Linked DNA regions of Drosophila melanogaster. The gene in region 1 interacts genetically with each later gene. Each region holds a gene or a part of one and is shown in the gene's direction. Other genes may lie near its edges. The genes, in order: bol and twe.

What was found.
Region 2: of bol (region 1) and twe, changing one suppresses a phenotype caused by changing the other (phenotypic suppression), as found in Drosophila melanogaster (one study listed by BioGRID).

What each region holds. Positions count from the first base shown.
Region 1 is NT_037436.4:9,127,284-9,132,353, reverse strand, and holds the start of bol (boule), read left to right. Parts: upstream 1-1,998; 5' UTR 1,999-2,457; intron 2,458-5,070. UniProt on the Drosophila melanogaster protein: RNA-binding protein that plays a central role in spermatogenesis. Required for meiotic entry and germline differentiation, at the transition between G2 and M phases of meiosis I.
Region 2 is NT_033779.5:16,258,743-16,264,003, reverse strand, and holds twe (twine), read left to right. Parts: upstream 1-2,126; 5' UTR 2,127-2,413; intron 2,414-2,498; coding exon 2,499-3,779; 3' UTR 3,780-4,590; downstream 4,591-5,261. Other genes in the region: CG4935 (uncharacterized protein), read right to left, coding at 618-742, 824-1,354, 1,411-1,483, 1,547-1,665, 1,726-1,804; EndoGI (endonuclease G inhibitor), read right to left, coding at 4,742-5,261. UniProt on the Drosophila melanogaster protein: Required during meiosis. Regulates the transition from the extended G2 phase to the onset of the first meiotic division.

The sequences.
Region 1 (5,070 bases):
AAAAAGAAGCTATATTGTCTACATTACATGATGATCCAATACAAGGAGGGCATACAGGCATTACAAAAACCTTGGCCAAGGTCAAAAGACATTATTACTGGAAAAATATGAGTAAATACATAAAAGAGTACGTAAGAAAATGTCAAAAATGCCAAAAAGCAAAAACAACAAAGCACACAAAGACTCCAATGACGATAACTGAAACACCAGAACATGCTTTCGATAGAGTTGTTGTGGACACAATTGGTCCACTACCCAAGTCAGAAAATGGTAACGAGTACGCAGTCACTCTCATATGTGATTTAACCAAGTACTTAGTTGCCATACCAATAGCAAATAAAAGCGCAAAAACAGTCGCAAAAGCTATATTTGAATCTTTTATTCTAAAGTACGGTCCAATGAAGACGTTCATAACGGACATGGGAACAGAGTATAAGAATTCAATAATTACTGACCTGTGTAAATATTTGAAAATAAAAAATATAACATCAACAGCTCATCACCACCAGACAGTTGGAGTAGTAGAAAGAAGTCATAGAACTTTAAACGAGTATATACGATCCTACATATCGACGGACAAAACCGATTGGGACGTATGGCTTCAATATTTCGTATACTGCTTCAACACGACCCAATCTATGGTACATAATTATTGTCCATATGAATTAGTTTTCGGTAGAACAAGTAATTTACCAAAACATTTTAATAAACTACATAGCATAGAACCAATATATAACATAGATGATTACGCTAAGGAGAGTAAATATAGGTTAGAGGTAGCATATGCTCGAGCAAGAAAACTTCTTGAAGCACACAAAGAAAAAAATAAAGAAAATTATGACTTAAAAATAAAAGACATAGAATTAGAAGTAGGAGATAAAGTTTTACTAAGAAATGAGGTAGGTCATAAATTAGACTTTAAATATACGGGGCCCTATAAGATAGAAAGCATAGGAGATAATAACAATATTACGCTACTTACTAATAAAAACAAAAAACAAATAGTTCATAAAGATAGATTAAAGAAATTTCATTCATGATTGAATTTAAACTTATATTTTCCTTAATCATTTATACAAATTTTCCATACACTACGTATATTTTTATCTTTGCATTATAAAATCAACTATTGTTGTTCAAACAAAAACACAAACAAAATAAAAATAAAAATAAAATAATTTGCATTTAATAATCAAAATAACTTCACTAGGTTACGTTATTTTTCAAAAGGAGGGAGATGTAGTATGTGCCTATGCAATATTAAGAACAATTAAATAAAATAGCATATTAACTTATGGCAGCACTTTGTTGCTATGTTTATGTTTATGCACGCAGTTAGGCCAGGGCGGATGTAACATGATCACCCACTCGAAGGCCACAAAGTATAAGTGCATTGCCCACTCGAAGGCAAAAAGTATAAGTGCATGGTCAGCATTCACACGCCGACCAAATACATATTACATACGTACATACATATCTCGCTCTCCCGATAAGCCTAGATATATAAGATATACATAAGAACGCCGCTCCGCTGCTGGCGTACCCGGCAGCGCAGCTACGCGGATTAGCCTAAGTCAAAATATATAAAAAACTGTAAAATCGGAGAGACTCTGTAGACGTTGAGCTGACAGAACCATTTCTGCCTACTCTAAAATCAAAAGAAGAAATTGAATAAATATATGTCAGCCCGACGGCTGCCTTCAACTTAAAACGGACTTGTGTTCTTAATTGGAGTTCATCATTACACGAGAGCAGTTGTAGAACTAAAATTGTTGTGCTATATCGCTAAACGGTGAACGGTAAATATTGAAGAGAGTTTTCCTGGCTTCAATTTTCCTTTGCAATCGCCCCCACCATCCTTGGAATTTTGGGTTTTTTGGAAGAGAAAAACACATGTGGTGTGTCGCCACAGTGTTTTGGTTTTTCTCGGCCGCCCAAGTAGACGGCGCGTAGTTTTTCATTTTGACGGGAGTTTTCCTTTCGGTCGTCGCCTTACACTCATTTCTAATTGTGATTCGTAGGAAGTAAGTTGTCTAGTGCTATATATATATATATTCAAGTAAAATTGTTTTAAATCGGAACACACAACAATAATATATACAAGTAAACACCACTAAATATCGGAAAAGAAAGAAGAGCAAATAATTAAATTACAAAAGAAACCAAGAGAATATCAAGCTAAATCCCATCATCCCATCATCCCATCGTTTTTGGTCTTCTGGTTCTTGTTCATCACCGACGTTATTGATATTGATATTGAATACTGGATATTAAGATACATATATACAAACGCATCGTATCTGGGATAAACGTTCATCACAAGGAATATTAATGATACGCAAAGGCTGTAACTGTAAACTGTGTCCCCTCTCACGTAAGACGTAACGTAAGGCAGCCTGTGGAAACGACGTAGTTTGGACGCAATCAGAAAAATCTCCAAGGAGGACGCAGCTAACGGTGAGTTTTCCTGATGACAGAACAGGGGATTGCTTTTGGGTGGGGGGAGGATGAATGTCACTCGCAGGGAAAATGAAAAATGCCAGGCGAAAATTCTTGGCCATGCAACTCGTTTGGCCGCTCTGCCTCTTTCGCTCCCGCGTACGCTTATGTGTGTGTTTATGCAGCGGAAAACGTGTATTCTTGAGAAAAACCAGAAAATCGAAACCCGGAATTGGGTCAGTATGTCACACGCCGTCCCGCTCCCACCGATTCCAATTCCGATTCCGATTCGAGCTGCTAGTCTGGCTAAAAACTCTGGCTAAAACGTGTTTCGTGCTTAGTCAATTTGTTCTTTTTCATCTAGTCGCAGCTGCGCTGCCGCAGTTGGCGTCGCTGCACGGCCACTTGACTAAAAGCGGCCTAAACAGCATCGCCTCCAGAATGCCTAAAAAACAAAACAACAACATGTAGTGCCGCTGCACGTGTGCGAAAGAGAGGGCGGCGAAAGGTGGGAAAAAGACAGAATGTCTGTCACCCGCGCGACCAACTTAAATACCCTGTACTTATGTGAGGGAATATTGTAGAACAGCTTATTAGTATAGATTCTACACAATAAAACCGTTTAATCATATCACGAAATATTGATAATTAGTACATACAAAACATATGTGGTTTTGTCAGCATAACAAATAATATTATAATAATATAAGGTCAATACATGAGATTTTTAGGCCCTAATATAATTTTCCTAGAGGCAGAACTGCTTTTTTATTTATTATTAATTGCTAGATTCTTTTATACAAAGATAGTTACTTTTTAACTTACACATGTATGTACATATGTATGTGAATGTACATATATGTATATGCTGAGTATCTCCTATTCGCCAGCTTATCTTTTGTGATGTAAAATGATAAATGGCTCGCTCTCCGACTTTCGTAGTTTTGCCTCTCTCTAGTTTTTCGGCCACTCGCTTCACTTGATCTTGCACTCGGATTTCGGCCGAGTTGCAGTCGACAGCGCTGTCAGCGTCGACGGCGACTGCGGCGGCGGCGCTTTTACCTTGAGCACGCCTGCACTTGTCACAGCCCCTCCCCCCGCCCACCGACTCACACGCCGTTTGAATTTGAACTTCTGAAAAAGCCAACACCTTTCGAAATTGTAGCCGCTTTTATTTCTTTTTCTTTTGCCTCCGAGCAGCGGCATTTTTATATTTCTGATGTTTGCTAATAAAATTATTACGACTTGGCCGACAGCGGCTGCTAATGCGTTTTAAGGTCGCCGACGCTGCTCTTGTTGATTTTGATCCAATAAAAAAATGTGATGATGCCCCGCTTAGATTTCTCGGTCCATTTAACATGTGTCCATTGGCCCAGGATCCGATTTGATTTATTTCAAAGTTATTTATTATACAGTCAGGCGAAAAGCAAAACAAACATGAATGGGGAAAATTGAAGGCAAATGGCAGACAGCTGGTGCTCATTTTCCGGGATGCGAAAAAGGGATAGAATTGGGATAGTGCACTGAGAAAAATCAGTGAAAGAGTTCATATCATATCATACTGCATATGTTTGCATCTCAAGAATCTCTTTGTATGAGTAGAGATCAAATGGATAAGGAAACAGCTTTCGTTCATGAGATGTCTATCTCTAAAAACTACTTATAGGTGGAAATTTATTCTAGACAAGGGTAGAGAGCACTGCAAATACGTATCCAAAAACAACTCCCCAGATAATTCATCATTACATCATAACCGTTGCGAATTCATGACTAATGGCCGATGATTTTTCTCTCTGTGGGGAATACGCGACGTCGTGGGATAGGGATAACAACACGGAAGAGGCTCCATTATAGGTTGCTGGTTTACTAGTTAACTGGGCTCCAGCCAAGGGAGCGAAAGGGAAAGGTGACGAACGAGAGGGAGAGAGCGAGAGAGCTAGGGGGAATCTGAATTACAGAGAGTGGGCGGGGGTGGTGACACTGACAGTGGAGCACCTTCGTCATCGTCAAACATTCGGGCTGTATAAGAGCAATAAATAATGCACACGAAGAGCAGTGATGAGAGCCAATGATATGGGAAAATATCGGACGAGAAATTCGACAGAGAGAGAGAGAGAGAGAGAAAGCGGAGAGAAATTTGGGGGGCGAGCGTAAGAGATTCGCCTTGGGGGGTTGATTGTGTTTAATTTTTGCACTTAAGAGCGCAAAAAGTGGCTTTGATTTTCCGCCGGCCCTTCTCACGCAGCTTGGGGCATGCCAACTTTGATGGCCGATTTGACCAACCCCCAGGAGGGAATTCCCAACTTGGCTCATTAAATTGATAACATTAAGCAGGCGATATTTAATTTGATTTTCTCCAGACACAAACACAATCTGATACACAAATTGTATAGATTCTATAAGTTATAGTTTTCTGAAGATTTAAACTTAAAACAAAATTACTGTACTGTTTTCATAGTGTAAAATACCTATGCTAATTTTAGTTTTCGTGGCACTTTTAAATATTATACATAAGCATGATAATTTGTCAAAGTTTCTTGTAGTGCATATATTTTTCGCAGAGAGCATCCACTCAAAAATATTTCCGTATTCTTGGCAACATTGTTGTTGGCGATGGGTTAGTGGGCGGAA
Region 2 (5,261 bases), on another chromosome or scaffold:
CTAGAGGTCAATGCTGCAGCTGTCTGCCTTCGCCAAGCTGCGTCTGCGCTGTGCAATTTCAGTTTCTTCTTGACTTTGTTCAACACGTCTCATAGCTGCCAGCTAGGACACCAAGTGTCCCTGCTCGGACGCCACTGTTGAGACCCGGATTTGAATTGAAGAAACTCTTCTTCGCTCAGCGCTGCCCCGCGGCTAGGCGTACCGCATTTTCCCACAAGGAGAGAGACTATGAGAATGATGAAGGATACAGCCAATGCATGCAAGGCAGCTACATTGTGTCAACCACGCCTGCTCGCCTGCTCGCCGCTCGTCCGCATTCGAAATATTTGATTAAGGAAACATTATGCAGGCCGTTCATAGTTAAAGGAAAAGAATCGTGAAGAATATATAAGCCAGATCATACGAAAACAAACACATATTACTACATACATTCATGCTCTATGAAAACAAAAAATTATGTCAAATAAATGGTTTTTCCTTTTTCCCTCAACAAAACAATCAATTTTTTATGTTTGCGGGTATTTTGATGAGGTGGGCTCCTGAAGGAGTCTTTATATTTTATAACTATATTATTTATATCACTAGCTTTTGGTAAAACTATACAGCATTATGAGTACCTATAATTGCTCCTCTTCGATTTGCAAATCTGTCGAGAAGACATACATGTCCCGTCGTCTGGCGAAAAGCATTTCCTGTCGCTTGGGATGAGTGGCTAAGGAGTGGACGACGCCGCCATTATCACCTGACGGATATATGACAAAGGAAACCCACATGTTAATATATGTATATAGCTAATAATCAAAGTTCAACTTCACTTGCTTACTTATGCGAATGCGCTGCAGTACTTTCCCATCGAGCAGGTCGTAAACAAAGGCGTCTCCATCACTGGAGCCCGTGACTATTTGGGCATCGTTTGACAGTATTCCGCACTCGATGTGGTAGTCATCGCCGCGATGTCCCCTGTACTCGGAGAGTAATCCGCCGGTCTCACAGTCCAGCAGACGAACCACACTATCCTGACAGCCGGCCACCAGACATTGCTCGTCGCGCGTCTGCGCCAGATATGTGATGGGTTCACCAATTTTGTCGCAGGTAAGTTCGCCCACCCGAATATCGTAGGTCCTCACACATCCGTCCAAGGAGGCGGCGTAGATGCGATTCTCGTTGGTTGCCACCGTGGTGATGCAGTCCCGGGCCTCCTTCATCACCTGAACGGGATCCAGGCGACGCGTTCGAATGTCCCAGCACATTACGGCATTATCTCGACCCCCGGAAATGGCTATCGAGGAGTCCTCGTTGAAGCAGACGCATCTAACACCTCCGGCATGGCTACGCAGGCGCCGTACTGGTGCTCCTGAAATAGGCGAGAGAAACATTAGCCATAATTGGTGCGCTGTGATTACAACTCACCCGTTGACACGTCCCAGTAGATAATGCTTTTATCCAAGCTGGCGGAAACGATATAGCTACTATCACAGCTTCCCTGCAATATGCCAAAGTGGAGTACTTAATAATAAGAATAATACTAAGTGAGAAAAAACTATACCGCCGCATCGGTGACTTCATCCGCATGACCACCATAAGTCTTAAGCAGTAATCCCGATGCCGGATTCCACAGCTTTATCTTCTTGTCAGATCCACAACTCAAGCAATAAGTGCCATCAACTAAAGATTAAGGATCAAGATGAGTTAATGCTTAAAAATCGGGCACTGAAAACCATTCACCATTATAGCGCACAGCTCGCACTGCACCTTGTTTGCAGTCAATTGTGGTTTTTACGTTAAAGTTCTCAAATTCCGGCATATTTGTATTAAAAACAATAACACAACTGCAGCACGAAAAATATAAACAAACGGACAGTGTGACCAGATGTAATAAATGTTAATATGTTTTTGTCAAATTTTCCACTGGAAAAATGATATGATTCATAATTATAATTGTGGAATGTTTTTATTTTATTACGCTCATTAACGATTATTCTATGTATCTTTTTCTTATAACTATTTAAAGTACAAATTTATTGATTGAAAATATATTGATTTCATCGCATATTATGGTGGTAGAACACGTTATCATTAAGATGGCTGCGCTTTTTAAATTCAATTTCATTGCTCTTTGTCAAATAAAGTTGAACCAGCCATGCAAATACCAACAAAAAAATATACAAGCAATTTAAATTCAAACTAGAGCGTCCTGTTTAAATACGGCGCAGTGGTGAGTTAGCAGGTGGTGGGTTTGCATCGGTAGAATGGGGAATTGATAAAGGCGCCAATAAAGTTGACCGCCAAAAGCGAAACAAACAAGTCGACAGAACAAGAAAATCGTCAAGGATTTGGCAATCGAAATCACTGCGCACGCTGGAACCCAAAATCTGAACTTCCCAATAGTTACGTATATCGCAAATAGATCAGGGTAAGAACAATTGCGAAAATCCAGCTGATTTTAGCAGCTTCCAGCTGATAAAAAAATCATTGTTTTTTTTCTTTTTAACGCGCAGATGGCGAGCAAGCGGCTAATGCTCGATGTGGAGGAAGAAGATGATGAAAGTGGAGCGTGTGGTCAGGAGAATTTCGATCCCCATGATGCCGATATGGAATACCAGGCCAAAAGGCGAAAATCAGCCGTGCAGGAGACTCCGCTGCAATGGATGCTGAAGCGGCATATTCCTGCCAGCACCACCGTTCTGTCGCCCATCACCGAATTGTCGCAGAATATGAATGGAGCCCGCCTGGATGGCACTCCCAAGTCCACCCAGAGAATCCCAGCCAACAGGACCCTGAATAACTTTAATAGCCTGTCCTCGCGAACACTCGGCAGTTTCAGTAGCTCCTGCTCGAGTTACGAGTCGGGCAACTCGCTGGATGATGAGTACATGGACATGTTCGAAATGGAATCAGCCGAGAATCACAATCTTGAGTTGCCCGATGACTTGGAAGTGCTCCTCAGCGGACAGCTGAAATCGGAAAGCAATTTAGAGGAGATGTCCAACAAAAAAGGCTCCCTGCGTCGCTGCCTTAGCATGTATCCCAGTGAACAGCCAGAGGAAGCGGTTCAAGAACCAGATCAGGAGACCAACATGCCCATGAAGAAGATGCAACGGAAAACTCTATCAATGAACGACGCCGAGATCATGAGAGCACTGGGAGATGAACCAGAGTTAATCGGAGATCTCAGCAAGCCATGTACCCTGCCCTGTTTGGCGACAGGCATTAGACATCGTGATCTAAAGACCATCTCCAGTGACACATTGGCCAGACTGATTCAGGGCGAGTTTGATGAACAATTGGGAAGCCAGGGCGGATACGAGATCATAGACTGCCGTTACCCATACGAGTTCCTTGGCGGACACATACGGGGAGCGAAGAATTTGTACACACGTGGGCAGATACAGGAGGCGTTTCCCACGCTGACCTCCAATCAGGAAAATCGACGCATCTACGTCTTCCACTGTGAGTTCTCCTCGGAACGGGGTCCCAAGCTATTGCGCTACCTGCGGAGCAACGACAGAAGTCAGCATACCCACAACTATCCGGCACTGGACTATCCTGAACTTTATATCCTGCACAATGGGTACAAGGAGTTCTTCGGTCTATACTCGCAGCTATGCCAGCCCAGCCAATATGTACCAATGCTGGCACCGGCGCACAATGATGAGTTTCGATATTTTCGGGCCAAGACCAAGTCCTGGCAATGTGGCGAGGGCGGAGACAGTGGAATCGGCGGTGGAGGCTCTCGCGGCCTCCGGAAATCACGTTCACGACTGCTCTACGCCGAGTGACCATTTCAGGCTATAGATACAATTCTCGAATCGATCCACCTGCCATAAGCTCACAGAGATCTCAATGAGAAACGATGGCTGCCCAATTTTACTCATAGAATTATTTTGTAATATTTAAGGACGCACATTTTAAGGTTCATTTCTTGTTGCGTTGTTCAAATGTTGTGAAAGCACTTTATATTTATTTAGTTCTTGATTTTGTATTATGTTCCACGTTGTGTGGACACAGAGCACCCAAATGGGAACCACCAAAGATGGGAAGAAGAACAGAAAATGGATATATGTTCTCTAGTCAGTGTATGTAATAGTTTCAAAATTAATTAAAGTTCATTTTTGTGTTCGGAATTTAAAAGTTAACTTAAGAAAGTATTTCATATTTTATTTTAGTATTTAAGCATAATAATCTAACCATTGGATTTAAGAACTTCAAAGGAAATTACGAAAATTGTCTATGTATGAATACAAACTATGCTGAAACTATTTATGTGGATTCCACCTACATCGGTCAACTTTTATTAAAAGTATCTAAAAACAATCATTTAATACACAATTTAAAAGTTTTAGGATGCATAATGCTTAATTAGAACAGGAGATGTAAGAATACTCATAAAATATTTCAAGAAAATTCGTGATACAAATTTTAAATCAAATGAAGAAAAATGTTCCTTAATTTATATGCTATTATAGTTTATATATATTACAAAATTTTAAATGCTTTAAGCTATTGAAGAAATATGAAGAGAACAAATAATTTGTTACTGATCGAGATAATAAAAAGGACCACTATTTTTGAGAACAGTTATAAAATACTTATCATTTTATTCATTTTTAAACAATTTCTAACATTTCGAAACATAATTCAGATATTGAAATGCTTTACTGTGTGTGCCTTCAGAGATTACGACCAGAATAGGTGTTTTAGTACATAAGGAAACAATCCTTCAGTCATGAAAGATGCACTACTAATCATCATTTACAGGTCCTTCAAAGGGAGCCTTGCAACCAGCCTTTTCGTAAAACTCGAATGGCAGCGGATCCTCGTTGTCGTAATAGTCGGAATCGCGGGCGCAACTGGGACCAAGTTCCATTTTCACCATCTTGTCGCGCCAAAAGTCGAGAAGCTCTTTGGTGAGAACCTCATCCCTCAGATTGAAAATCCAACTGTTGTAGTCGTCGGGCCCATAGAAACCAGCATCACCCTTGTACTCCTGCAGCAGCTCGGCGGCCTTGTTTTGATCCTCCGCTGAGGGTGTGCCATCGAAGAGCAGCTTCCAGATTATCTCCCTGGCGGCTGCCGCTATCTTCTTCACGCTGGCCTGGTGAACGCTGTCCGGAACGATGATTTTGGTCAGAACAAAGCGCTTCATTAGAGTTCGGTATTCCTCGAGCGGATTTTCCTTGGTCAGGGTGGCCTCAAATTCGCCAGACAGAGCGGCGGCATCATCGGCACTCAGTTCACCCGGAGTTGTAGGCGTCGCTGGC